Linked DNA regions of Macaca fascicularis. The protein of the gene in region 2 purifies or fractionates together with the protein of the main gene of each other region. This does not show direct contact. Links are inferred from orthologs where the notes say so. Each region holds a gene or a part of one and is shown on either strand. Other genes may lie near its edges.

The links.
Region 1: the proteins of IRAK1 (region 2) and PELI2 purify together in Homo sapiens (affinity purification with western blotting; 7 studies listed by BioGRID and IntAct, with this or other methods). This does not show direct contact. The link is inferred for Macaca fascicularis from reciprocal best matches to the Homo sapiens genes IRAK1 and PELI2.
Region 3: the proteins of IRAK1 (region 2) and TOLLIP purify together in Homo sapiens (affinity purification with western blotting; 11 studies listed by BioGRID and IntAct, with this or other methods). This does not show direct contact. The link is inferred for Macaca fascicularis from reciprocal best matches to the Homo sapiens genes IRAK1 and TOLLIP.
Region 4: the proteins of IRAK1 (region 2) and STIP1 purify together in Homo sapiens (affinity purification with mass spectrometry; 3 studies listed by BioGRID and IntAct, with this or other methods). This does not show direct contact. The link is inferred for Macaca fascicularis from reciprocal best matches to the Homo sapiens genes IRAK1 and STIP1.
Region 5: the proteins of IRAK1 (region 2) and MAP3K7 purify together in Homo sapiens (affinity purification with western blotting; 5 studies listed by BioGRID). This does not show direct contact. The link is inferred for Macaca fascicularis from reciprocal best matches to the Homo sapiens genes IRAK1 and MAP3K7.
Region 6: the proteins of IRAK1 (region 2) and IRAK3 purify together in Homo sapiens (co-immunoprecipitation; 3 studies listed by BioGRID and IntAct, with this or other methods). This does not show direct contact. The link is inferred for Macaca fascicularis from reciprocal best matches to the Homo sapiens genes IRAK1 and IRAK3.
Region 7: the proteins of IRAK1 (region 2) and PELI3 purify together in Homo sapiens (affinity purification with western blotting; 7 studies listed by BioGRID and IntAct, with this or other methods). This does not show direct contact. The link is inferred for Macaca fascicularis from reciprocal best matches to the Homo sapiens genes IRAK1 and PELI3.

Annotation. Positions count from the first base shown.
Region 1 is NC_088381.1:124,162,042-124,165,541, forward strand, and holds part of PELI2 (E3 ubiquitin-protein ligase pellino homolog 2), read left to right. Parts: intron 1-797; coding exon 798-986; intron 987-3,500. UniProt on the Homo sapiens protein: E3 ubiquitin ligase catalyzing the covalent attachment of ubiquitin moieties onto substrate proteins. Involved in the TLR and IL-1 signaling pathways via interaction with the complex containing IRAK kinases and TRAF6.
Region 2 is NC_088395.1:160,087,061-160,091,063, forward strand, and holds the start of IRAK1 (interleukin-1 receptor-associated kinase 1), read right to left. Parts: upstream 2,801-4,003; 5' UTR 2,699-2,800; coding exon 2,563-2,698; intron 2,471-2,562; coding exon 2,303-2,470; intron 2,201-2,302; coding exon 2,069-2,200; intron 1,951-2,068; coding exon 1,847-1,950; intron 1,660-1,846; coding exon 1,471-1,659; intron 1,227-1,470; coding exon 1,162-1,226; intron 992-1,161; coding exon 877-991; intron 1-876.
Region 3 is NC_088388.1:1,223,321-1,226,820, reverse strand, and holds part of TOLLIP (toll-interacting protein), read right to left. Parts: intron 2,974-3,500; coding exon 2,821-2,973; intron 1,265-2,820; coding exon 1,174-1,264; intron 1-1,173. UniProt on the Homo sapiens protein: Component of the signaling pathway of IL-1 and Toll-like receptors. Inhibits cell activation by microbial products. Recruits IRAK1 to the IL-1 receptor complex. Inhibits IRAK1 phosphorylation and kinase activity.
Region 4 is NC_088388.1:10,193,092-10,196,539, forward strand, and holds the end of STIP1 (stress-induced-phosphoprotein 1), read right to left. Parts: intron 2,173-3,448; coding exon 2,136-2,172; intron 1,924-2,135; coding exon 1,820-1,923; intron 1,601-1,819; coding exon 1,428-1,600; intron 988-1,427; coding exon 915-987; 3' UTR 501-914; downstream 1-500. UniProt on the Homo sapiens protein: Acts as a co-chaperone for HSP90AA1. Mediates the association of the molecular chaperones HSPA8/HSC70 and HSP90.
Region 5 is NC_088378.1:84,782,202-84,786,196, reverse strand, and holds the start of MAP3K7 (mitogen-activated protein kinase kinase kinase 7), read right to left. Parts: upstream 2,801-3,995; 5' UTR 2,593-2,800; coding exon 2,473-2,592; intron 1-2,472. UniProt on the Homo sapiens protein: Serine/threonine kinase which acts as an essential component of the MAP kinase signal transduction pathway. Plays an important role in the cascades of cellular responses evoked by changes in the environment.
Region 6 is NC_088385.1:72,978,740-72,982,946, reverse strand, and holds the start of IRAK3 (interleukin-1 receptor-associated kinase 3), read right to left. Parts: upstream 2,801-4,207; 5' UTR 2,690-2,800; coding exon 2,557-2,689; intron 1-2,556. UniProt on the Homo sapiens protein: Putative inactive protein kinase which regulates signaling downstream of immune receptors including IL1R and Toll-like receptors.
Region 7 is NC_088388.1:7,918,657-7,922,156, forward strand, and holds part of PELI3 (E3 ubiquitin-protein ligase pellino homolog 3), read right to left. Parts: intron 3,301-3,500; coding exon 3,106-3,300; intron 2,803-3,105; coding exon 2,614-2,802; intron 952-2,613; coding exon 382-951; 3' UTR 1-381. UniProt on the Homo sapiens protein: E3 ubiquitin ligase catalyzing the covalent attachment of ubiquitin moieties onto substrate proteins. Involved in the TLR and IL-1 signaling pathways via interaction with the complex containing IRAK kinases and TRAF6.

The DNA.
Region 1 (3,500 bases), on a different chromosome or scaffold from region 2:
CTTCTTAGAGCACAGACACCTTTCTCAGAAGCCTCCGAGAAGATATCCTGTGTCATCAGTCAGAGCCCAGTCATGTGCTGTGCCCACCTGTAAACCAGCCATTGGGAAGATGGCTGGGAGTGTCGTGTTGGATTAATCAGGATTCCCCCCACCAGCCCCAGCCATGTGAACAGTAGCTGAGCTCTATCACCAAGAAAGCTGAAGGGAAGAGCTGTGGCACAAGCACCCAAGAGTGTCTGTCCTATCATCATGTCAAGCTACATGTGCCATCTACCTTTGAGAATTTAAACACTGATTGTTGTGTAAACATAATGACCCTGACTTGTTGGCTTAACATTTTTTGAATTTTCTAGCTTTAATAGAAAGTCTTTCTTTATGGCTATCCTTTTTTCTCTATCCTGACAGTGAGTACATAGAAAGCACTTTTAGATATCAGGATAAGGACATGGCACAAGTATAACTGAAAAGAGAAAACACATCAGATTCCTGGAATCTCATGGGGTTGTGGGGAGGGTAAAAAGAATCTTAGAGGGAGAAGTCCAGGCATCCATTTTTTGCAAATTCTTGAGAACTATAATATGTGTCCAGTGATAAGTCATTCATCCATTCAACACTTCTTTTATAGTGTCGAAATAATTGTGTATTTTATCCTTGTGATTATTAGCTTTAAATAGAAAATGAAAATGCATCACCTTCCTCCCCTCTGCCTCTACACAGTGTATTAAAGAAATTCCAGAATCCTTTCCATTTCAACATCATCTTAACCTACTTTTTCTGTTCTGCCATGTGCTCTCCAGGAAAAGGCAGCAAAGTGGAAAAACCCTGATGGCCACATGGATGGGCTTACTACTAATGGTGTCCTGGTGATGCATCCTCGAGGGGGTTTCACCGAGGAGTCCCAGCCTGGGGTCTGGCGCGAGATCTCTGTCTGTGGAGATGTGTATACCTTGCGAGAAACCAGGTCGGCCCAGCAACGAGGAAAGCTGGTGAGTGCGCTTCACTCTGCAAGACGTTCCAGACTACACAAGCCTAACTCCAAGGCTGTCGTTTTTCCCTCCCCTGACGTTTGGAACCTTTGTGCAGGTCCAAGCGCCGTGTACCATAACTCAGCAGAAGCAGAATTCCACAAGCCCCAGAAAGCAAGAGGGAAATGGCCTTATCTCCTTCAGTGGTTCAACTTTTTGGGAGTAAATTGTGTTTTGCTCCTTACCACCTGAAGAATATTTTTTATTGTATACCTCACCACACAAATCTGTTTTAATTCACTTTAAGAAGAATAAACTTACTTTTAGTGTAAAACTTTATTGATTTGGAAAACATTTGAGCAGTCCAAAAACAATTAGTAAAAATTATGAATTAAGGAATTATTTACTAGACTTTCTGGAACTAAAAATAAGTCAGCTGGTTTTCCCCTTGAATTCCTATATATTAAGGCAGAATTCTCTATACTGTCCACCAAAATCATAGTTAGAACTTTTTACTTGAGATGATTTATATATTGCATTGACCTGGCATGTTAATATTTTCCTATAAATATCACCACTTATACCCGTGCCCTAAAGCAGTTTTTTAAACCCATTCTTTCTTGGAGAATAATTATAATACCTTAAATGTGTAACTCTGAGTTTCTGATCTTGCCATAGCCATATAGCACAGCCACTGATTTTTAGTAAACTCTCCATTCCTGTACTTTTGCTTAATTTGCTAGGTAGAAGCTAGAATGAGAGAGAACAAATGTCTTTTTCTAGAAGCTAGAAGAGGAGTTCTTCAAAACTCCCACAGAATAAAATGTATGCGGAATAGAGAATTTGACCTAGCACTTGTTAGAAAGATCATCATCAAAAATGTCTAAGATGGAAAAAGAAGCTGGGGGCTGTTTTGCTAACCTCATTTGCTGTTCTCTACTGGATGTTTGTGTTTAGGGAATGGTTATTTTTATTTCTATTTTACACCGTTTTTCAGCTACAGGCACAGCTTATGCGTCTTACAGTGCATTATGGCTGAATAAAAGAAGCATTTTCTAAAAAAAAAAAAAAAAAAAAAAAGCAAATTCAATAAATTTTGTATAAATGTTTTCAAGAAATTGTAAACAAAGAAGGAAATGTGAAAGCAGTTTTTCTAAATAATCTTTTGTTTCTGATCACTGGATAGTTTTATGCAAAACCGACCTAGATTGGCCAAACTGGTTATTCATCATTATAACAGCAAGAGTAAGAAGTCAGTAAATGGTTGCTGGGTGCAGGCTCTGCATTAACATTTTTGACATTAGCTCACTTCATCTGCACAGCAGCCCTCTTAGGGAAGTAGAGTCATCCCCATTTCATGGATGAGGAAGATGTGGCATAAAATTAAAGGTTGTCCAGTGTCACAGAGTTAGAAGGTGGCAGCCGATGAGATTCAAATTCAGGTCTCCCTGATGGAGAGCCTGGACACCTAATACTACTCACTCAGTACCATGTTGTGGGGAGCTGGGGATGGTTTACACCTGAGCATTTGCCTCCCTGGGTGAGTATAAAGCATGCACTAGAGTCCGTGGGGAGCGCCTTTGTCCAGGAGGGCAAATCACAGGATGAGTTTCTCGTCCACTCTGGTTATTGTGTAGCGACTCTTCTTAGGCTGCTACATGTGCCGGAGAATTTTACAGTGTGACTGAAAAGAAAGAACTCCAAAAATGGCTTCTATTAATGGGTTGTATTAAATATACAGGCTATTTTTGAAGTTAGTCCCTATAAGCGACACTTAAAACTCTGTAAAATTGTGCCGTCCCATTTGATAGCATCTGATTAACCTGACCAGTTACAGAGGCTTCCATCAGCCTGACCTTGGGCTTATGGTACACTGAACGGATAATCCTTCCTGCAATCTCCTCTTGTTAACCTCTGGAGAACATTTTTTTGGTCTGTCTTCGTGGAAAGTTTACTGACTCTTTGAGCTTCTGTTTTAATTCATGACTCATTGGTCCTGTACATGTTGCTGGTAGCATTCGATATAAATTATGTTTATCTGGAGATTAGATTTTGGGGACAGTCTCTGGCAGTACTTGTCATTTGCAGTCTAATACAGCAATTTGGGAAATAAAGTGAGCTGCTAAAAGTCTAAAATATTTGTTAAAACAGTAGTAGTCACATTGTGGAGCTAGTGCTGGTGGAAGATTATGTATTCATGTCATACTCAGCATTTGATATGAATCAATATACTAATGTATCTGTAACCAGAAATCACCATTGTTTTTCATTATTACAGCAAATGATGGAACCTCAGAAAGGTATACTAATCAACAAAATTAATTAAATGTGGGGGAAATGTCTTTTCAGGCCTTTAAACCCTGAATAAATAGGTGAATGGAATTTGAATTGTGCCCTACTTTTTTAGCTAGTTAATGATAACATATGGTAACATTTATAATATTAGTCTAGGGGGCCCTTGAGTATTTAATTAAATTATATATGAAATATTTTATTAAACTAAACTGGCTTTGTATAAAATTAAGTAAATTCAGT
Region 2 (4,003 bases):
GTGCAGCCTGGAACAGCCACTTCACTCTCTAGGCTTCAGTTTCCCCCTTCTGGAAAACGAGGAGCAAAGTCTCCGTGACCTGCACTTGTTAAGCTACTCTGGCTGCTTGTCAAAGCATTCAAGGCTGGGCAGTGGTTGGGGACATGTTCAATAGAATCTGCTGGGCATAGGCTCCCAGGGCTCATCCCTTTGTCCCTGGGTGGTCGGGAAGTCCTTGAAGGCATTCTTCCCACTCTCCCCAAACACAGTATGCCGGAGGAGGCAAGGGGGTCCTCTGTCAGCGCTGGCTGGTCCAGCTGGTAGCCCCAGACCCCCTTGCCTCCGGGGCTTGCTGATGAGACCCTCCAGCTACTCCGCTTGCAAAGGGGAGGGGCCTGGGGAAGAGCTCTATAGAAAACAGTGGGCCAGGCCAGGCACGGTAGCTCACACCTGTAATTCCAGCACTTTGGGAGGCTGAGGTGGGCAGACCACTTGAGGTCAGGAGTTTGAGACCAGCCTGGCTAACATGGCAAAACCTCATCTCTACTAAAAATACAAAAATTAGGCAAGTATGGTGGCGTGTGCCTGTGGTCCCAGCTACTCGGGAGGCTGAGGCAGGAAGATTGCTTGAACCCGGAGGGTGGAGGTTGTGGTGAGCTGAGATCACACCACTGCACTGCAGCCTGGGTGACAGAGAAAGACTCCACCTCAAAAAAAAGTGACCCCACCATGGGCCAAATCCTGAGCGGGGTGCTGCTGGGGAGCTGGAAGTGCAGGCCTGGCCTGCTAGCAGGACCCGCTCACACAGGCTAAAAGCCCCAGGCCCCGCGACCGGCTCCAGCCAGGTGTCAGGAGTGCTTTGGGTCCTCGGAAGCGTGCCGGGCCAGGTGAGCCTACCTGGCAGTGGAGCCGGTCCTCCAGGGAGCCGTTGGGCAGGAAGCCGTACACGAGGCAGTAGAAGCCGTTCTGAGCACAGTAGCCAGCAAAGTCCACAATGTTTGGGTGACGAAACCTGTTTGAAAAAGGGGAGCACTTTCCATCAGGCCAGACTGGGTGGGCAGCCCTGGCTGGGGCCTCAGCTTGCCTGGGCCTGGCAGGCCTCAGGTGCCCAAGGGAGCCAGGTCGTGTAGTGTGTGGTCTGAAGCCCCACGGGACCTGGTGTGGCTCCCCATCTGGCCTCACCTGGACAGCTGCTCCACCTCGGTCAGGAAGCTCTGCTTCACTGCAGTCCACTCCAGGTCAGCGTCCTGCAGCCCCCAGGGTGCGGTGGGGGAAGGGGCAGGGAAGACGGGCAGGGTGAGGCTCTCCAAGCGAAGGCCTTCGGGCCACCAGTGCCACGTGCCTGAGGCCCAGAACAACCAAGGGGCCAGGGACCCTGCGCCGGAATGAGGGCTGAAGGAGTTGTGTGGGGAAGCGAGGGGGAAAGGCTGGAGAAGTGAGTGAGGGTTGTCTGATGGCCTTCCAGGGTCCCTGCCAGGGTGCGACACTCACCTCCTTCAGCCTCTTCACAGCATACACCGTGTTCCTCATCACTGCCCGGTACACGCACCCAAAGCCACCCTCCCCGATCTTGAGCTCCTCTGAGAAGTTGTGGGTGCCCTGGGAAATCTCACAGAGGGGCCAGCAAAATGGAGAGGGGTGGGCTCCCTGCAGGAGGGACACCGAGCTCTCTGGGCCTGGCTGTGGAAAGAGAGCCTGGATCAGGTGGGGTCCCTGTCTCCTCCCTTCTGCCGAAGGCTCCAGGCTGTCCCCACCACAGCTGCCTCCCAGCTGACCCAGCTTGGCTGACTGCGGCTCTGTGGTACACCAAAGGCTGAATTCCTTCCTCCTTGTCTCGAATCTTCCCTAGGGGGCAGGAGACACCTACCTTGGTAGAGGAAAGGGCTGGAGATGGCGGTGGAGGCCGCAGGGAAGCAGGGCTTGGGACCAGGCCGAGCTCAGGCCCTGAATGGGTCTGGGAGCCTGGAAAAGCTTCATAAAGACACCAGTGAGAGGCAGGCAGAGACCAGCAGCAGGGTCTACAGCCGTGGCCATGGTCAAGGTGGGCCCTTCTTTGGGTCCACCGAGCCCAACAACCGGGCCCTCTTACCTGGGGAGAGGAGGGTGGAGGCTGAGGATGGCAACTTCCGGGGGCTCCAGGCCTCGGCCTCGGCGGGTGCAGGGATGCTGCTGGGCCTCGGGGCAGTGGTGCTTGGGGACGGAAGCGGGGCGGGAGGGTGCCCTGGGACGTCAAGGAAGGAAAGGAAGGTTGAGGCCCGGGTCGGGGAGCCCCGTGGGGCCCGCCGGCCTCCCGGCCGTGGGGTGCCCGGAGTCCCGCGCTCACAGGCTGTGATGATGTCCCGCGCGCGGAGCAGCTGCAGGTGCGTGAGGATGTGCACCAGGTCGGCCACACGGGCGTTGCGGTTGATCCAGGGCCACAGAACGCTGGCCGTGCGCTGCCCGGAGCGCTCGCACAGCCGCAGCTCAGTCTGGTCGCGCACGATCAGGGCGGCTGCGGAGCAGGGGGCGTCAGGCGTCGGCGCCGGGAGCCCGCGCGCCCCCCGCCCTCCGCCCCCCGGCCGCCAGCCGCCACCCGCCACCCACCGAACTGGCACCAGTCGGCGGGCTCCAGGGCGTCCATCACTTTGTAGAAGCGGCACATGACCCAGGGCGGCACCTCGTACAAGAAGTGCTGGGCGCCGGGGGCTGCGGGCTCTCCCGGGCCCGGCCCCCCGGCCATGGCCGCCGCCGCCGCCGCCGCCGCCGGGCCAGGGCCTGTCGGGGCCTCTCAAGGCCGCGGCGGGCACGGGCCTGGGCCGGCCGGGTCCGCGGACACTGACTCACTTCCCCTTCGAGCCGGCCTCGTGCGACACCCGGCGGGGCGGAAGGGGCGGTGCCCGGGCTCGCCGCCATCTTGCGCGCCGCGGCCGCGCGCTCGGCCACACGGGGGCGCCCCGCGTCGGGGAGGGTGCGGGTCCCGGCGCGTTTCGCGCGCGGCAGTCGGCCTCCCGGGCTCGCCCGGGCGGGGCTCTGGAGGACGAACGGCAGCTCCCGGCGTTGGGGACCGAGGGCAGGGCGGAGGCCCGGGCTGCTCGGAAAGGGGCCGGGGCCGGGCCTGCCGAAAGCTCCTGGGCGGCCCGGCGGGAGCCCTGCTCTCCACTGCGGCCTACAGGGCTGTTACCAGGAGCCCTGCCCGTCCGCCCCACGTCTAGCCCCCTGCACAGAGCAGCAGCCTTGAGCCATTCAGACTCCTTGGGTGTCCTGAAATGTGCCAAGAACGCTGGCCCCCACAGCCGTGAGTGTACGCGTTGCTGCTGCCCCAGCCCTCGTTTGGCAAGGGTGAGCTCAAGCAGTTGTGAAGGCTTCCTGAGCCCGCCGGCAGAGCTCCTGTCCCCTCCTGGGCATCGTCCTTGAGCACTTGTCTGGACCGCCACCCCCGGTCCCCGCCCTGAGATGGGGAAGACCCCACAAGCAGCAACGCAGACTTACTCTTTTTAAAGTTTCTCCAGCTGGATGTCTCCCAGCGACAGTTCCCCTTGCCCTCTTGATCCTGACAGGGAAGGGGTTCCCCACCCCTAGCCCTACAGACTTAGAACTTTTCCTAGAAACGAGATCTGCCAAGGCCCACAGCTGGCCCCTGTTGGAGTCTCTTCCCAGAAGCCACCACCACTGTGGCCACTCCTAAGGAAGATGCCAACCATACCATGAAACCCATGGCTTCTCACGGGATAGACTTTACTGAGATGTACCAACTCAAGAATGTGAAATGACTATGCACACCCATGCTAACCTCCACGGGGGGACTTGTCCTGCTTACACACAAAGGCCCAACAGCTTCTGGAACAGGGCTGGTGCACGAGATGCTCAATGCATACAAGTTGACTTTTCAATCCTGGGATCTACCTTTCAAGGCCCGGCCTTTAGAGGGTACCTTCTAGTATGTGCATGTGAAGCTGGACTCCTTTGAGCAGTTGTCTCCTCCAGCTCCTTACCAACCTGGTGAGGCTGCTCCTGAGAGCCAAGGAAGTCTAAGTAACAAGGGGGC
Region 3 (3,500 bases), on a different chromosome or scaffold from region 2:
GAGGCCCTGCTCAGACACGGGCTCTGCTCTTTCCTCTGGAGAAAGGCAGCCCTGGCACCTGCGCAGGCGGCTTTACTTGGAAACAGAGTCTCGATGTGAGCAAGTGAGGGCAGGGCCATGCTGTTCTCATAAGCAGTTTCGTCAGAGAATGTCCTGAACACCAGTGGACAGACCAGAGTCTCCCAGCGCCGTCCCCTCCTTCCCACCACCAGGCTGGGTTTCAGGCCACATCAGGTGGGTCTAGGGCAAGGTCCTGACTCCCAAGGTGGCCTTTCTGCATCTGTACGGGATGCTGCCAGGACTGGGGTGCGGACCAGGCCTCTCCACTCCAGCTGGGCTGGACACCAGCACCGGCCTGACAGCACTCTCGCCTGCCAGCAGCTCTGTCCCACCCCAACCCCAAAGCAGCCCCTGAGCACAAGCAGCCGGGGCCTCACGCAGGCCCCGAGACCCTCCCCCAACACCACCACGCATCCCCAGCGCCCTGCCCGCAACTTGGCCACTTCCATGGCCTGGTCCCCCAGTGCAGAGGGACCCACGCTCTGCCAGACACCAGCTCCCCGGAATGAGAGGCCACCTTGGGTGGAGAACCAGGGTGGCCACAGGCTCCCCCCGAGCACCTCCTCAGGGGCTGCTGTCCCCCCGCCTGCTGAGGACGCTGGGCCCGTCCATGGTGGGGGCTGGCCTTGCACCAGCTGCTACGACAGCGACAGCTGGACCAAAAATGCAACAGCGTGAAAAGCGACATTCCCGCTTGGTGTTGCTGCAGCCACCGGCTGCTCACTCTTAACAGTGACACACGACAACGGCTGCAACAGCGCAGTGCAGAGCATGCATCGCCCGACAGGGGTGTGAGGTTCTCCTGCAGAGAGCTGGGCACGACGAGGTTTCAGTCACATTTCCACACCTCTGAAAATTTCAACTCATCTCATTTCTGCCAACAATTAGAAAAAAAACCAATTCTATTCTCTAGATATGCAAACAAAATTCAAACGTAATCCTTGGCTCCCTAGCCTAGAAGGATCTGCGTGCAGTCGGCACGTCTGCAGGATTCTAGAACGGATGGCGTCCCCCCACCGGCGCTCTAAGCCCTGTTCCCTTGTCCTGCGCCCGCCCTAGGCCCTGGGGTTTCTACCAGGGGGGAGGCACCCAGGGAGGAGGGAGCACACGCACCTGTGATGGGCACGTAGCCGACGCCCTGCTGGTACACCGTCGGCATCAGGACCACAGGCTGGGGTGGCATCACCATGGCAGCTGGCAGCAGCTGGAACACAGCGGAGATGGTCCCGGGGTCAGGAAGGAACATCTACCCATCAGAACCTCAGGAATCGCCCTCCCCATGCTAGCCCCGAACCCAGCTGTGAGCCCTGAGTGCACAGGGGACGCCGGGGCCCACTCCCACCCCCGCACCACCTCCTCACGTCCAGGAGGTGACATGGCTCAGGCTTACAGACCCCCCGCACCACCTCCTCACGTCCAGGAGGTGACATGGCTCAGGCTTACAGACCCCCCGCGCCACCTCCTCACGTCCAGGAGGTGACATGGCTCAGGCTTACAGACCCCCCGCGCCACCTCCTCACGTCCAGGAGGTGACATGGCTCAGGCTTACAGACCCCCCGCGCCACCTCCTCACGTCCAGGAGGTGACATGGCTCAGGCTTACAGACCCCCCGCTAACTGGGATGTGACGGAGAGACGATGGTGTCAGGAGGGACATCCCAGTGTAGGTGTCAAGGGGGCCTGGGGGGAACCACACTGCACAGCTGTGGTGTCTGAGTTTAAAACTGTCAACTTGAGATAAGTCACTGCACTGCTGTCGTCTCTGAGTTGAAAACTGTCACCTGCAGGTAAAGTCACTGGGGCGTCATGACGGTTCTGCGTATGAAAGCATCGGTTAAAGCTGCGTCCTGAGACATTTACACGTGGTCACTCATGGCTGGGACTTGCTTTAAAATATCCCGGCGTTAACAAAAAGGGAGTGGGAGGAGCCAAGATGGCCCAGAAGAGCGGCTCCCTGCTGCGCCCTCTCCACTGTCACATGGGCCTTGCATTTCCCACAGCACCATTTTTCAGCAACAACCTAAAAATTCCCTGAGTGATAATACAGAGAATCCCTGAGTGATAATACAGAGAATCCCTGAGTGATAACACAGAGAAGACGGTAGGAGTTCTGCGTCCTGGAGCCTCTAACTGGCCCTCCCGATGCCCCCAGGAGCTGCAGGTGTCCTGAGGATATAGACAGCTGGGAGCCAGGGCAGCTGACGTGCTGGCCCCACGGCCAGGCCTCGACTTCCTGACCCCGAGCGCGGCAGCCCCCAGGCTTCCCCCACATCTCCAGAGATGCCCTTCCACACCCTGGCCAGTGCCTGCCCTGTTGGGAGGAGCCTGGTGTCCCATAGGGCCCAGGGCTGCATCTCAGACCCTGGAGGGCTGCTCAGCTGGACCCTAAGGGCAGAGCTTGGAAGGGCTGTGAGGGACCTCCGAGGACACAGGGGCCTGCAGTGGAGACCACCACAAAGGGTGGGCCCATCTTAGGAACACAAACAACCCCGATGCTCTTTCCCCAGACAGAATCGATGGGCAGGAGCAGTGGGCGGGGCAGCTCCTCTCTGCCACCAAACCACCCAGGGCCCCTTCCCTCTGTCCTCAGAACGCTGAGCCCTGCTGTTTGACGGACTCAGTGCCTCCAGGAAAGAGACCAGGGTGTCTGCGGGGTGGCACAGCCCCGATGTGTCCCAACATACCCTGACCCGCCCCACCCCAAGGCCTCTGACGCGTCCCGCCCCTCCCCGATGCCCCTGATACCAGGCCGGCAGCTCACCGCGTAGGACATGACGAGGTTGATCATGCCCTCCTTGTCGTCCCCCTGCCTCCCGCTCAGGCTGTACCACTTGTCCTCCACCTTGCCTTGCCTCAGGGACTCGGGGATGGTGATGTGGGTCCACGCGATGCGGTCGTCCATGGAGAAGGCTCTCTGGGGGAGAAGAGGGAGATGCCTCAGGCATTAGGGAAGGGGCCGCCCTTTCCCTGCGGTCGCACCATCATGGGCCCGTCTCGAGTTCCCATCTCATCGGTGGAACAAGGCTCCCACCTGCACCCACACCCCATCAATGAGACCCCTCAGGCAGCACGGGCTTCACGGTCGTTTATCAACGATCCTTCCCTCTCTCCACCAGGATAGGCCAGGGCCAGGGCTAGGTCTGGGGCTGGGGAAAGTGAGGGTCCTGGGCTGCTATCCTCCTCCAGTTCCAATTCAGGGACACTAGTTGCTCCTCCCCAGCCCTCCGGGCCCCATCCTTGCTCCACCGGCTGCCACCTCCCAAGCCCCAGAGCAGCCGGGGCACAGGCTGGAGAGGACATGGGGTCTGCCTCCCACAGCTGCCTCTGTACTTCCCATGCGCTCTCCACTCTTCTGAGGGCCAGGGAGGGGAAAGCAGGTCGGGATGGGGAGAGAAAAGCCAGGAGGAAAAGGCAGGGCCCAGGCAGGGAGGACTGGCCATT
Region 4 (3,448 bases), on a different chromosome or scaffold from region 2:
GGTAGAAGAATCGCTTGAACCCAGGAGGTGGAGGTTGCAGTGAGCTGAGATCGCACCACTACACTCCGGCCTGAGACTCAAACAACAAAACAACAAAACAAAAATAATCCATGACCCAACTCCTAAATCTAACAGCAACTGACAGTATAGCTGCCCTTCCCCCACAGAGGTCACACTGAAATTCTGTTCTCTGGATCTAGCCAGTTTCTAACTTTGGGACTATAATGTGGAGAACTAACAGCACCGGGGATACCCCAAAGCTTATCTGAACCTCTCATTAGTACCACTTGGGGTGGGGAAGCCTCCAGATGTCCTTCCAGCCACTGAGCAACAGCGCCACCTAGCAACCCTCTCAGCAAAGCCATGGAGCTGTGCCAAGCCACCTGACTCCTCCTAAGCCCACCCCGAAGAGAAGAGCAAGATCAGATTCCAGGAGCAGCCCCTGCAAGACAAACTCTTGGTTAAAAAAAAAAAAAAACACACTCAAGGCCAAAGCAACATATAACCACGCCCAACTGGCTTGTTTTATTGGAGAAGGGGACGCGGAATAAACAACGTGAGACAGCTGGGACCTGAGGCTGGAAGAACCCCCTCCCCTCCCCATACATGCCCACTGCCCCAAATAAAAAATAACCAACTATGGGAGAGCAGCCGAGACAGCAACTGGGGGCAGGGGAAGGAGATACGGAACTCGAGGGCAGCGGTGGAGAGACCATGCGTGTGCTGGGAGGGCCCAGAGGCAGCGGTGGCACAAACAGCGCAGGTACGAGTCTCTGTGTCTTCCCCGGGGTTATGTATAAATATAGAGAGATGAGGCCTTCTCTCCCCTGCTCTCCCTTCCGCTCCGTGCTGCTCGCCGCGGTCCCAGCTCCTCTTTCCACATGAGGGCGAAGGGAAGGGGGATGAACAAGTCATCACCGAATTGCAATCAGACCCACATCCATCAGCTTCTGGATCTTCTGTGCTATTACAGGATTCTTTAAGTGTCTACAGAGGAAGAGGCAGTTATTTGAAATGAGACAACCTTTAAAATCTTACTTCCTTACTTCCTCTCAGAGCAAGCCCCAATTCAACCCCCTCTACAGAAGGCCCCGGCAAGGAGGGGTCCTGGCGAGGCCTGGGGCGCAGAGCTGCGGAGGCCTGCTCCACTTCGCAGAACTTGCCAGTCCTACTCCAAGCCCACGACACAGTTTCCAGCTAAGACCTTTCTCCCAGCTAAATGGGCCTTTCCAAATGACTGCTCAAGCTATCATGACAAACAAGGAAGGCCCTTCCAGCTCTCCACCCACTACCAATCTCCTCAAGTTTAGGAGAATGACAGAATTCCTCTTCCTCCCATACCGAGCACACCCCTCCCAGCTGTGTGCACTCATCTGCCTGCTTTTGTTCTCCATTTCCAGCAAGGCCACCTCTTTGACTCTACGTACTCGCTGAGTGCCTGGGGGTCCTTCTGCATCTGTTCCAGGATAAGGCGCATGGCTGGGTCACTCATGATCTGCTGCACCTCGGGGTCGGCCATGGCTCGTCGCTTCACATCTTCGGGGCTGTCATGCCGGTTGTACTGCGCCATCATACAGCGTTGGTAGCCGTCTGCCGCCTCCTGCAGTCCAGAAGAGACAAAGGCGAAGAGTGTTGGCACCACCCAGCTCACTACTTCAGCAGGTCCAAGATAACAGAGGTAACTGACAAGGGAAGACAGAGCAAGTAAGAGAGAAACGGAGAAATGGAGGTGACAGGGAAGAAATCAGGGACTGAATGTGGAAAAGACCCAACAGAGAAAGAGGCAGGGGGAGCCCTGGAGCCCCAGAAGCAGCCCCACCTTACAGCTGGAGTCCAGGTCTAGCGCCTTCTGGTACACATCCATGGCTTTGGTGTAGTCCTTCATCGCTTCCAGGGCAGCAGCTTTCCGTGTATAACCCTTGACTACAGACAGGAGAGGTGGTGCGTCATCCAAACGCAGCGCCCAAGGCTGCTCCTTGCACCTCTTCACCTGCACATCAACACTGTTCACACCTGCTGATGCTGGATCCTAAATGCTACAGGTCCCAAGGACACACAGGTAGACAAAGGGCTTGCCCTTTCCTTCTCTAATCTTTTGGCTAGAGACAGGGGACAGGCAGCAGAAAGGTACTTACTGAAGGTCGGCTCCAGCTGGATACATTCCTCACAGTCCTAGAATGAAGCAGCAGAAAGAAATTAGGCTCATTCCCTTGGACAAGCTCACTACAGGCAGCTCAAGCATGTGAACTTCCAACTAACACCTCACCCAGCACCACACAGAGGTGATGACACCAGAAAAGACAACTCCAGATGATGGATCATCCCATAAAAGACAAACTGCCCGGACTCTGCAAGAGGCTGATGCTATGAAAAACACATAGTGGGGGACAATTCCAGTTTGAGAAACTGAAGAGTACATGACAGCTAGACCAAATGCATGGGCCTTGGTACTGAGAGCTTTGGAATCCAAAACCACTGCTGATTAAAAAACAAAACAACGCCAGGCGCGGTGGCTCACGCCTGTAATCCCAGCACTTTGGGAGGCTGAGGTGGGTGGATCACCTGAGGTCAGGAGTTCAAGACCAGCCTGGCCAACATGGTGAAACTCCGTCTCTACTTTAAAAAAAAAAAAAAAAAAAAAAAAGCCAGGTGCAGTGGCTCATGCCTGTAATTCCAGCACTTTGGGAGGCTGAGGTGGGTGGATCACCTGAGGTCAGGAGTTCAAGACCAGCCTGACCAACATGGAGAAACCCCTTCTCTACTAAAAATACAAAATTAGCTGGGCGTGGTGGCACATGCCTATAATCCCAGCTACTAGGGAGGCTGAGGCAGAAGAATTGCTTGAACCTGGGAGGCAGAGGCTACGGTGAGCTGAGATCGTGCCATTGCACTCCAGCCTGGGCAACAAGAGTGAAACTCCGTCTCAAAAAAAAAAAAAAAAAAAATTGCTGTGTTGGTGGCTGCACCTGTAATAATCCCAGCTACTTGGGAGGCTGAGGCAGGAGAATCGCTTGAACGTGGGAGGCGGAGGTTGCAGTCAGCCAAGATCATGCCATTGCACTCCAGCCTGGGCAACAAGAAAGAAACTCTGTCTCAAAATAAAATAAAATAAAATAAATTTAAAAACCCCAAGTTTTAAAACATATTTTTGGAGAAGTAGGCAAGTCTGAGTATGGATGGACAGACGGCAGATGGCATCAGGCCTTGGTCTGGTGAGGCTGCGTGAGCTGACAGTGCTGCACTGGACAGGGAGTCTTTTCAGGCAATGCGTGCACAAGACTTGGATGTCTCATTCTAAGTGCCAAATGTATACAATTTCCTTTTGCAAACAGTTCAGCAAAAAAGGTGAGCATTTAATTGTCAGATAAAGGTTGAAGATACACCAGATATTCACTATGTATTCTTCTTTTTGAAACATCTTCAAAGTAGGAAATCATGAGGAAGAGAA
Region 5 (3,995 bases), on a different chromosome or scaffold from region 2:
ATATTAGAAATGCAAGATCAGCTGATGTCTTAGAAATATGTATCTACTAAATGATTGCATATTTGGCCTGTGGTTGAATTATTTTTTTTTACAGTTTCTAATTATATTGATATAATGCAATTCAATTATATTGAGAAATACATAATATGATTTTCTTAATTTAGAAGGTAATATTCTCATACAATATAAAATATTGAAAGCAACATAAAGTAGTTTTTGTTTCTGGTCATCTTCCTCTGTTATCTTACAACTGAACTGGAAGTGTAATCTAAGTTGACAAATAGCTAATAAGTGTCCTTGGTTCACTCTGGATTGTGTAACACTGGTTTAATGTATGCAAATGAAGAACATGATGGAAATTATGTAATGCTTTCAATATCAGAAAGATCCAAATACAATCTTTAATGCAAAAATGAACTGAGTATTAAAAATGAAGGGGAATAAAACAAACAAAAAACCCAAATGACTGCCTAATATTAAAAACAAATTTTCGTCTAAAAACAAAATCCTACTCCCCAGAAATGTCCTAAACACACGCACACCCACATACACACAAAGATTGAAACATTATCTAAATTGAGAGAAGGGTCTTGGAAACACAGAAACCTAACCAGAAGTGAAATAGCTTTAGGGGAAGAACATCAAAATGATAACTACCTCCTTAGTAATTTGTTTTTCCATGAATCAAGAATGTAAAAAGCTTTAGAAAGTAGCATACAAAAACTAAGGTTGTAAGAACCAAATGAAGTAAGTTTGTGAAAGCATTTGGTAGACCATAAAGCACAAGTTATTATTATATAACAATTTGTAGTCTACAAGCATAGCAATTCACCACAGAGGAGACGTAAACGCTTATTTAAAAACTGCAATTCTTGTATACTGACTCATGGAATTTTTATTCTTAAAAAAGAATATTAGCCATGAAAGTTGGATCAACTATCCACTTCTGGAAAAGGAATTTATCATAGCCTCAATGTAAAAAAAAAAAACTTAAAAACATTCCCCCCTCTTTTCAAAATACAGGTCTTCTTTTAGCCATGTGACCTTAAAGCAGGTCACATTTCCTCTCTGGAACTAGGTTTCCTAATATGTGTCAGGCCCTGTGGTAGGTGTTTTGCATATAATGTCTACTAAGATCTGTTATGCAGATAAGATGAAACAGAATTTATTAGCCCTTTCTAAAACTAAAATTCAAAGGGGTTAGGAAACTTGCCCCAAATCACACAGCTAATAATGGCATATCTGATACATTGAACTTTCCTCTAATTCCAAAGACCTTGCTTTTCCCACCATATTATCTTGTAAAATGAGGATGTTCTCAATGATCTCTAAAGTTACTTTATGTGATAAAAAGTATATAATTCAGTAATCCATTACTCTTCCAAAACATGCACAGGAAAAAAAAATTTATTTGTTGAACGTTATCTCACTACTTCGAACTTGCTGACACTTAAAAATAATTTTAGAATTTTAAAGTAGACATAACTTGTTGACAATCTATAATATTTCACTAGGTTTTTCACGGGATATATAACGCAAGTGCTTAATAAATTAAAAAAACGGCAAATAAATGGTAAGATATAGTATTTTCAGCCAAAGTTTTTAACAAGTTCTAAAGTCTCTTTAAAAAATATATATGCAGCTTTTACTTTTCTAAATTTTATAGTCATTAGAACCCAATTTACCTCTCTGTTAATCTGAAAAGCAACACTTTAAAGTCACTTTGAAATAGCTTGTTCTAAAATGAATTACTGCAGAATAAAGAAAGGATATGGGTTTTCTGATAGCGATTTCCAGTCTAATGTTATATTCTGATTGTCACCGATCATTCGTTATCTCTTCAGAATATGCTACTTGAAACATCTTTTGATCGTAGACCAGTCTGTGTTACTTATGGTGAAATTCACCTACGTTAGCCCAACTGAAAGCCGAGCGTTTAAACATTACGAGTATTGCTGTGCGGTATCGGAGAAACTGAGAACCATTCGATGCTAAGGGAAACACTTTATTAGACTTGATGATCTACTAATTTAACAAGCATTTATTGAGCATCCCCTACATGCCAGATACTGAAGTAGAAGTCGAACATAATACAATTATTGGCCATTAAGAACTTCACGTCCAGCGGACTGAAACTCCAGAACGGCTACGATCTTCGCTGAAACTACTACTTACAGATACGAGAACTGGAGGACCACACTGTCTCACCAGTTCATTCTCCTGTTTATCACCGGAATATCAAATCCAAAAGCAAGAGTACTCAAGACAGGAAAAAAGGCAGCTACTCCCAAGCAGTTGAGCTCAGAGAGTAACCCCCACTCCCACGTCAGTGAAGGCTGTTGGGTCTCCCGGGTGGACCCCACAGGGTCCCGCGAATTAGAGGGGCCGGGGAGGCACCTTCAGAGCCGGGACCAGACAGAGGCAGGGGCGGGCCGGGCCGGTACCGGCGTCTCCATGCAGGGCCTCGCTCACCTCTTCCACCTCGATTTCCTTGTAGTCGATCTCTTCAAAGTTGAGGACTTGAGAAGGGGCTTCGATCATCTCACCGGCCGAAGACGAGGAGGAGGAGGAGGCGGCAGAGGCTGTAGACATGATCCCTCGCGGCGCCCGGTGGGGCCGGGAGCGGTGCCGCCCGGACAATCCGGGTGAGATCCACGCCCACCCGCCTCCGGACCGACCCTCAGGCTGGAGCCGCGCAGTCCTGCTACCCGGCGATCCGTGGCGGGGATAGCGGCAGCGGCCACAGCCGGGTCCGGATCTGGCTCCGCTGCGTTTTCCGCCGCTGGGCCCCGCCCACTACACTTCCGGTTCCGGGCTGAAATCGGAAACAGGAGGTGGGCCGTAAACTCCGGGGGAGGGAAGGGGAGAATTTTGTGACTTGGAAAGAAAAGGAGGGACAGGTTGGGGGTGGGGTGGAGTAAACTAAGAAGCAAGCTTGGACCTCTAGAACAAATTTCGCGAGACCTTTATTACAGGGCCTCAGCAACCGGATGATACCGCGAGAGAGGACGCCTGACGTAATTAAAGTGCGCGAACGGAAGTGGCGCGGAACATGACGGAAAATCAGCACGGTTGGTCCCTTAAGGACCAGCGGGAAAGATAAAAGCTGGCGTTTAGTCTCTGCTGTGTGAAGTATGTCTTGGCCTCTCTTTCTCTCCTTTGAGCTGCCAGCAGACGGGCGAGGTGGTGTTGAACTGTGTTTTTTGTGACGAAGCTTGCTTTTAAGTTTCATCCCTCAACTAAGTTGACCTGTTTCTTTAAGACGGCTTGCAAAATGTGTTTTCCTCAATGTGGGATATGGAAGGAAGCAGTTGCTCCTGTTACTTTGAGCTAGTCCCTGACGCTATGAGAAATTCTAAAAGAGCGAATCAGATCATGCAACATGAATAACTATGGAGGCTGAGTGATCAAAAACAGAAGTTAATATTTTGGTGTTACAAACTTTACACAGATTAGGTGGATAAGATATTTACACTTTGGTGTGTTCATCTCAAGTTATGGATTACGAGTGCGGGGCACTAGTGCTTTAGATTGGTAAATGAATCATCAACAGTCTCCTTGAAAATCAAATATTTTCATCACCATTTTCAGGACGTGAGAAAATACACTCAGAGTTTAAAGCAATTATGGTCCTTACAAACTAGATCAATCTGTCCCCAAGATGGTCAGTATTGCTCATGTTGTACTACCAGCACAAGTTTTAGTTTTAAACTAACTGTTGAACTTTATATAGTCCGTTTGACATAAAGCCTAACTGTGGAAAATTGGAGTTAGAGATGAAGATTTAAAGACCAAGGATGGATTCCTGCGAATGTCAAATTCTAAGTTTCAGTAAGAGACTGAAAGGAGGAAGTGAGGAAAATAGTAATTGGAACATCACCAGAGGTGAGCTTTCCAATGAAGAAGTAGCCAACCAAGTATATGCTGTACAGAATTATGTTAAACACATTTGGGATTGCAACTAGATCATTGGATTTGACCATCAAGAAGTTACA
Region 6 (4,207 bases), on a different chromosome or scaffold from region 2:
TACCTTATCCTGCACACACTGATCATATCATATAGGCTGCTATATGAGCTGCCTTGGTAAACATAGACTGACACTCACCATCATCAAGAATCATGATCAGCTTGAGAGAGCTTTACTTAGTATATTACGGTTGTTTTCTATATTTAAGCTTGGGCTGTCAGCTGTCCTGAGCATACAAGGGACTGCCTCTTTGATTCAGTCCTCCATCACTCTCCTTCCCCTCTCGAAGGTTAAGTTTTCCCTCCCTGCACCTCTTCCCCTCTTTCTCCCTTCACTGTGCCCACAGGACAACTCAGCACGTTTAGTACAGGCAGTTGCCTCAACACCCTGAACTGAGCTGGCCTTGCCTTCTTGCTGAGCCAACAGCTTGTGCAGCACCTGGTCAGGGCCAGCTCAGTAGTCCAGGCAGTCAGTAGGCATGACCACCTGCACAATGAATTACGGCTGAAGTATCATGGAGTAAACATTTTAGACCCTTGCCCTATGAGAGAATGAATACACAAACGGACAATGGCCAGCTTATATATAAAAACAGAATTCTGCAGACAATGTGCATCAACCAGTCCAAGAAACCAACCTACCATCTACAGTATCTAACAAGTTAAACTATCAGCAACTGGGTTAAACTGTAGCAACCAGCCCAGGCAGCCAAACAAGAAACCCTGTAGCAACCTGCCTCAAATGGCCAGGACTTGAATAATTACTGACAGCTTCCTCAATTTTTGCTCCTACTTCCAACTTAGGGCCAATCAGAGAAAGTCAATTATATACCCCTAAACAAACACACAGCATACCCCCCTTTTAGGTAGCTCAGCTACAGCTTCCCTGTATCAATAGCCTCCAATCAGGACATAACTGCAGCCTTCTCCCACCCTCCTCTGTCCTCTGCCTGCTTTTGAGTTTCTGCCAAACACAAGTAATGGTGGCTGGCTCCCTTGCTTTGAAAAATTAGCTTTTGTTTGTTCTCATTTGGGTGGTCCTCATTTATTTTCACCACTAGGGAAATGGGGCTGCATGCTTGAAATGGATCACTGAATTGTTCTTTGATGCCAGAAATGTCTGTACTTTAGGGAGGCTGTTAGATGTGGCCAAAAAGAGCACAGCAGTAAGGGAAGAAGTGTAGAGTGGCTGGGGTTAAGGACATAAGCCTTGGATCCAGACTGCCATGGTTCAGATCCTGGCTCTTCCACTACCAGCTGGTGAACCTGAACAAGTTACTTAACCAATTTGTACCACAGTTTCCTGACCTGTTAAAAAACACTGGCAATGATAATGGCTCACAGAGTAACTGGAGGGGTTATATGAGACAAGCCATGTAAAGCATGAATATCTGGATTTCAGTGCTATCAACAGAGAGAATAATCTGCCTCACTAATTTATGATACCCACCTGGCCCCATTCACCAACATTAAACTGGACTAAAAACACTTTTCTTTCACAGTTAGTAACTCTAGGAAATCCAGGGGTATAAATACTGCCGACGCCAAAATCCATCTCAAAAAGATCTGATGGGGAAGTGACCTTATTCCTCAAAATCCCTCATATGCACACTGGAAGTCTCTGTTTTCTAGAAATCAGACTTTTTTTTTTGGGGGGGGGCATAACTTAAAATTACAGAGCTTAAAATATATAAACATTTTTTGTATAACTAGAAGCCCATTGCTACAATTCAAAGACTGTGACCACACTGTTCATCAGTAACAAAGAAAACTCTCCATTTAGGTCTTCTGCTAGTCCTGGTAAGAAAAATCCTACTTCAGACCATTAAAGCTAAGTTATTTTGACATAATCATGATTCTTTTCAATAAACATTAAACATGACATTGTGGAATATCAAATCTAACCAAAAATGCCTATACTTAACAAAACAAAGATTTTTGTCTGAATTATCTCTGGCTACACTCAACACTTCCAACAGGCAGTTGCTCAACTTTCCAATGTCTGCATAAAATACAGTTCTGAAGCCAATTTTTTTAGACTAAAATAAAAAGCCACTCGAGCATAAACCTTCATTCAACGAAATTGGTTAAATAAGATTTAATTAAGAAAACTAGGAGCCACGTTCATTGCAAATCGTATTTTACTTTAGCATTTCACTTGGAATTAAGTTAGGGGCTTAGGCATGCATTGAAAACACCAAAGGATAAATATCTCAAAGTTCTAAAAATGTCCTAATACGAAAATGATATTCTGGGATGATTTCACAAGGGCCAGAAGACATCACACATTGCGAACCCAGTGAGGGTGGCATTGCGGACGAACAGAAGATGCTTTCACGCGGGTTATCCGTCTTTCCCAGGCCTCGGCTCCCTTGACATTGCTGCGATACCCAAAATTCTTTGAAACAGAGAAGGCAGGGCTGGCTTCTGGGTCCCAAGGAGTCTCTGCGTCCTCCCCGGGAAAGGAAGGGGCCGGTTCCCCGGCGGGAACTTCCCGGAGGCCGCGCCAGCCCCGCGAGCGACCCCAGCCGTGCAGGGCGACGCGGAGCCTACGCCGAGCTGGCCCCGCGGCGCGCTCCGCTCCCCCGCCGCCCCCGGCCGGTCCTGGCCGACTCACCCAGGCCGCGCCAGCCCAGCGCGCCGTCGCAGCTGTCCAGCACCGCGCACAGCTCCCCCAGCAGCGCGGGCGGCAGGTCGAACAGCAGGGTGTGCGCCGACAGCGCGCCGCGGGCCCCGCAGTTCCCCGCCATGGCTCGGTGGCCCGAGCCCCGGGAACGAGGCGGAGCCCAGGCCCCTGCAGGCCCGCGACAGGCCGTTACACAACCGCGGAAATCCTGCTTCCACGACGGCGGCAGAGCCCTAGGAACACGCAGTTCCCCGGCCCCGGCAGGGGCGGTGCCCACGTGACGCAAGGCGCGCCTAGCCCGAGATGCCCGTGCGGCCGCTTGGCCTGGCCTGGGGGGTTACCCAACCCGGGTTCTCCCTTCGCTGGCTTTGCGCCCCTTCACACCTCTGCTTTGGGGATGGAGCTGCTGAAACAAGCAGAGTGAGAACTGGAGAAAGCCCAGAGCTCAGAGCTACCAGGGGCCCACCGTGCCCCATGGCTAGGCGGTCTCCTGGTGTGGATAGCTAGAGATGTCATTACTTCTTTAAAAAGTTTGTTTCTGAAAGTTTCTCCCTTCCTTCTTTCCTTCCTTTCTTTTCTTCCTTTTTTTCTTTGTTTTGAGTCAGGTTCTCGCTGTGTCGCCCAGGCTGGAGGGCAGTGGCTGTATCTCAGCTCGCCGGAGCCTCCACCTCCTGGGCTTAAGGGATCCTCCCACCTCAGCCTCCTGAGTAGCTGGAACCACAGGCGCGCGCCACCACTCCCAGTTAATTATTATTTTTTCTTTCTTCGTAGAGAGGGAGTCTCGCTATGTTGCCCAGACTGGCTTCAAACTCCTGGCCTCAAGCGATCCTCCCACTTCCGACTTTCCAAAGTGCTGGGACTGGTGGTATTAGCCACTGTCCCCGGACTATTTATTTTTTATCCTGTCAGAATAGCTATCCATGTTCATCGAGGAACACTTGGAAAACCCACAAAAAAAAAAAACTGAAAAAAGAAGATAATCACTCACAACCCCACTCAGCCCATTACCCTCTAAAAGTTTTGACACATTTTCCTCCCAACTTTTACTGAATTTAAACAGATAAAAATGTGCATATATGGGATTATTACTGGAAAAGATGAATGTAGATATCAACAACAGAAAAACAGAAGAGACACCAAATGAGAGTAAAATTATGCTCGTTTTCTTCACGAGGCGGCCCCTCCTCCATACACCTACTTGGTTTTAAGAAATTCTCTTCCTCATGGGCTTCCCTGATGAAATATCGTTCCATCATTTTTTCCTTCCTCAAAGTGCTTCACATAATCTTCCTTTTTGCCTTCAACATGGAGTTTAAGTAAAATTATTGTTTTGAAATCTTCACGGAGTTTAAGTAAAATTGTTGTTTCGAAATCCTCTAGGTCACACAAGGCATGTTACCAGTGACAAAAAGTTGTTTTCAAAGTGGTGAGAAAAAGCTTAGCCTTAATGACTGGAAGAGTGGGCAGTGACCATCAAGTGAAAACACCAGAGGTGTTTTTAAACCTCTCAGATTGTAGTCTTAGAAATATCTTCCCCTAGAGATCAGGAGTTATGAAACACTAGCATTTCATGGCCCTACCTGAATGGTCCTTGTCAGCAAAAATACTCCATAACAATATACCTAAAAACTGGCAAAGCCCA
Region 7 (3,500 bases), on a different chromosome or scaffold from region 2:
GAAACTGGGTTGGCAGGCTCAGGGCATAGCCAGCCTAAGCTAGGGGTCAGGGGCCCCTGGCCCCTTCACTCCCCCAGGGGCACACAGTGTCAGCGGCACGATGTGGGATGCCCCAGGAAGGGCAAGGCCATGGGGCTGGGCTTTCCTCCATCGACCCAGGACAGAACTGGTTCTGAAGGCCCCATCAGCATGACTGGGGTGGAGATCTTGGGGACCTCCTTGGGGGGCCACAGTTGGGGGGAAGGGCACAGCCCATCCAACATGTCCATCTGGTGTGGCTGTGCCAGCAGGGAGTGTCCCACATGCAGAGCTCCCTCTGGGCTGCAGGAGGTGGGGACCTGGGTGGGCAGGTGGGCACAGCAGCAGGGGGCCCCAGGGAGCCTAATCCAGCGGGCCCTGGAAAATGAGGCGGACGCAGCCATGCTCGCCAGTAAGCCAGGCCCCGCAAAAGGGGCAGGCGGCATGGAAAGCGTGGGTGCCGTGGGGCAGTGGTGTCTGGGCCCAGTAGCGGGCAGTCTTCTCAGAGCAGACGTGGCCACAAGGTGCAAAGGCATGGCTAGGCGGCCCAGGGTCCAGGCAGAGGCCGGCCTCCTGGCCAAGCCATAGAGGCACATAAGGCCCCACGAGGCGGCAGAGAGGACATTCGCGCTCCTGGGGGCCCCGCTCCCGCCGGCAGCCCCAGCCGTGGTAGCCGTGGACGTGCCCGCAGCGGACGTAGACCCATGGCTGCTGTTTGTCGGGTGCTGTGCGGCCACGGGCTGGGCTGGGGAAGGCCAGAGTGCTGAGGCCCACGGGGCACTGGGGCCGCGCTGCATTTGCCTCCTGCCGCTGGGCCTCCAGTTGCTTCAGTGTTGGAGCCCGCAGCAGCCCCGCCGGTGTGCGCCACAGCAGTGTGGCCCCACACAGGTCGATGAGAGAGCCGTCCTGCAGCACGTTGGACTCGTTTTCCACCTGCCAGAGGCAGTAGAAGGGCCTTACTGCCCAAGAGGCCCCCGCTGAGCCAAGGGTCCATCCCACGGAGCCTCCCTGGAGAGGACACCCTGGCTGGCAGGGCAGGCAGGGCAGAGGGGCAAGGCAGGCTGGGAGGCCAAGCGAACGGGCAGGTACACCCCAGGCACATGCTGACCCCCCCTCCCAGCGGGGCATGGGCCTTGGTTTCTCCATCTGTCTAATCAGGGAGTCTGAACCCAGACAGGGTTTTTCTAAAATAAGATGTTTTCTGAAGTGCCCTCCTCCTGACAGAGGCAGGAAAGGCCTCTAACAAGGAATGCTGGGTACTTAGCTCAAAGCTAACAGGGAATGCTGGGTACTTAGCTCAAAGCAACTATCCCAGTAGTTACAGTTAAAAGCAAAAACTCAGGAGCTAGGCTGCCCAGGCTGAATTCTGGCCTTACCATTGACTAACTTTGTCCCTGGTCAAGTAACTTAACCTCTCTCCATCTCAGTTTCCTCATCCTCAAGATGGACTGCACCTTCTGGCATCTCAAGTGGTTCTCGTGAAGATTAAATGAATCAATCAGGCCGGGCGCGGTAGCTCACGCCTGTAATCCCAGCACTTTAGGAGGTTGAGGCGGGTGGATCACCTGAGGTCAGGAGTTCCAGACTAGCCTGGCCAACATGGTGAAACCCCATGTCTACTAAAAATACAAAAAGTTAGCCGGGTGTGGTGGCTCATGCCTGTAGTCCTAGCTACTTGAGAGGCTGAGGCAGGAGGATCACTTGAACCCAGGAGGTGGAGGTTGCAGTGAGCTGAGATTGTGCCATTGCAATCCAGCCTGGGTGACAGAGTGAGACTCCATCTCAAAAAAAAATTAAAAAAAAATAAATAAATGAATCATTCAGTGTAAAAACTTAGAACAGTGTGTGGCAAATAGTGCTTAAGAAGAGTAGGCTTGTGAAACATTCACATGCATCATTTTACCAAACAATGCTTCCCCAGACCTCCCCACAGAGTTGACGCTCTGCAAAGAAAAGCCATGCTTTTCTCTGAGGTTTTGCATCTCCTTGGACAATGTGCTCATGCCTGAAGAGCAACGCATGGCCCGTTTGAGGAGCATGGCCATGTGACCTTGGGCAGCCCCTGCCTCTCTCTAGGACTCACTCTGGGCTCCCTAACCTCAGCTCTCTGATCTGCACCACAAGGAGTTGCCACTAACACCTGTGTCAGAACTACTGTAAGGACCCTTTCCTCCTGAGAGAGAACAGTGCTAAACCTGTCTGAATGTGACAGACATGCTACAAACTGCCAACACTTCAGGCTATAAACTGCTCACACATGGGCCAGTGTCACTCTCATAAGAAGGTGTGATTTTTTTTTTTAAGCTGCCAGCAGCCTCGAAGCCACCTGGGACTGCACAGTATGTCTGTGTGTGCCTTGATCACATCACCCCCTGGACCTCCAGTGGTATACACGCTATGCTTGGGGACCCTGGTCTGTCTGCCTGTCTGTGGCACATGCTAAGAACTCCCTGGGCCTGGGATTCCCCAACATGCAGCCTGTTGGGGCTCCCTGGGGCAGAAGGACTAGAGATCATCTCCTGGCTTGGGCAGGGGGATGGGCAGCTTGTGAGGGCCTGGCAAGGATGAGGGTGGGGAATAGAGCAGGCCACCTACCAGCTTGCCCCGCTGCTGGGCTGAGCGGCTGTCCCGCAATGTGTACACATTCCCACAGACCGAGATCTCCCGCCAGACACCTGGGGCTGAGTCCTCAGAGAAGCCGCCCGCCGGGTGCATCACCAGAACACCATTGGTGGTCAGTCCATCCATCAGGCCATCTGGGGTCCGCCATTTGGCTGCCCGCTCCTGGGACCACATGAGGGATCAGATCACATCCACCAGGGGCCCCCCAGCAGGCTATGTGCCAGAGGCACTGCCCCCCTACCCTCAAGTTCAGAGGTGGCTCAGAGAGGACTGGCATTGAAGCTGCATGACTTAAGTGTCTCTCTGGGCCTCACTTTGCTCATCAGTTAGCTGGGGTTGCTAAGCCCTGCCAGGACCATCATTTGGATTACTGTGGGCTGGTTCATCACATCAAGATGCTGCACCTCCCAAGCCTACCCCTTGCCTCACAGATGAAGAGTTGGTCCCTTCCTGGGGCTCACTCACTCCAAGGAAGATGTTGCTAGAGGCGTCGAAGCCAGCTGCATAGATGCGGGCAGTATAGGGCGGCCGGCGGTCACAGAGGATGCGGCAGGCGTAGCGAGAGATGGTGCTCTGGGCGGAAGGGCCCTCGGCAGCCCCTCCTCCAGGGGATGTGTCTGTTACCACGAAGTCAATCATGTTCTCTGTGGAGCGGCCAATCTGTGAGGACAGGGAAAGCAAGCAGCGACTGCATGTACATAGGGGACTCTCATAGGCCTCCCCACCCACAGTTCCGGCAGCTGCTCTGTATGCAAGGTCACCAAAAAAGGAGGCTGCCAGGCCCTAAGAAGGGGGCAGCACCAACTCCTTAGACCTTCTAGGCTCCCAGGTGGGGTCTCCAAGTCCAAGAAGCCATTGCC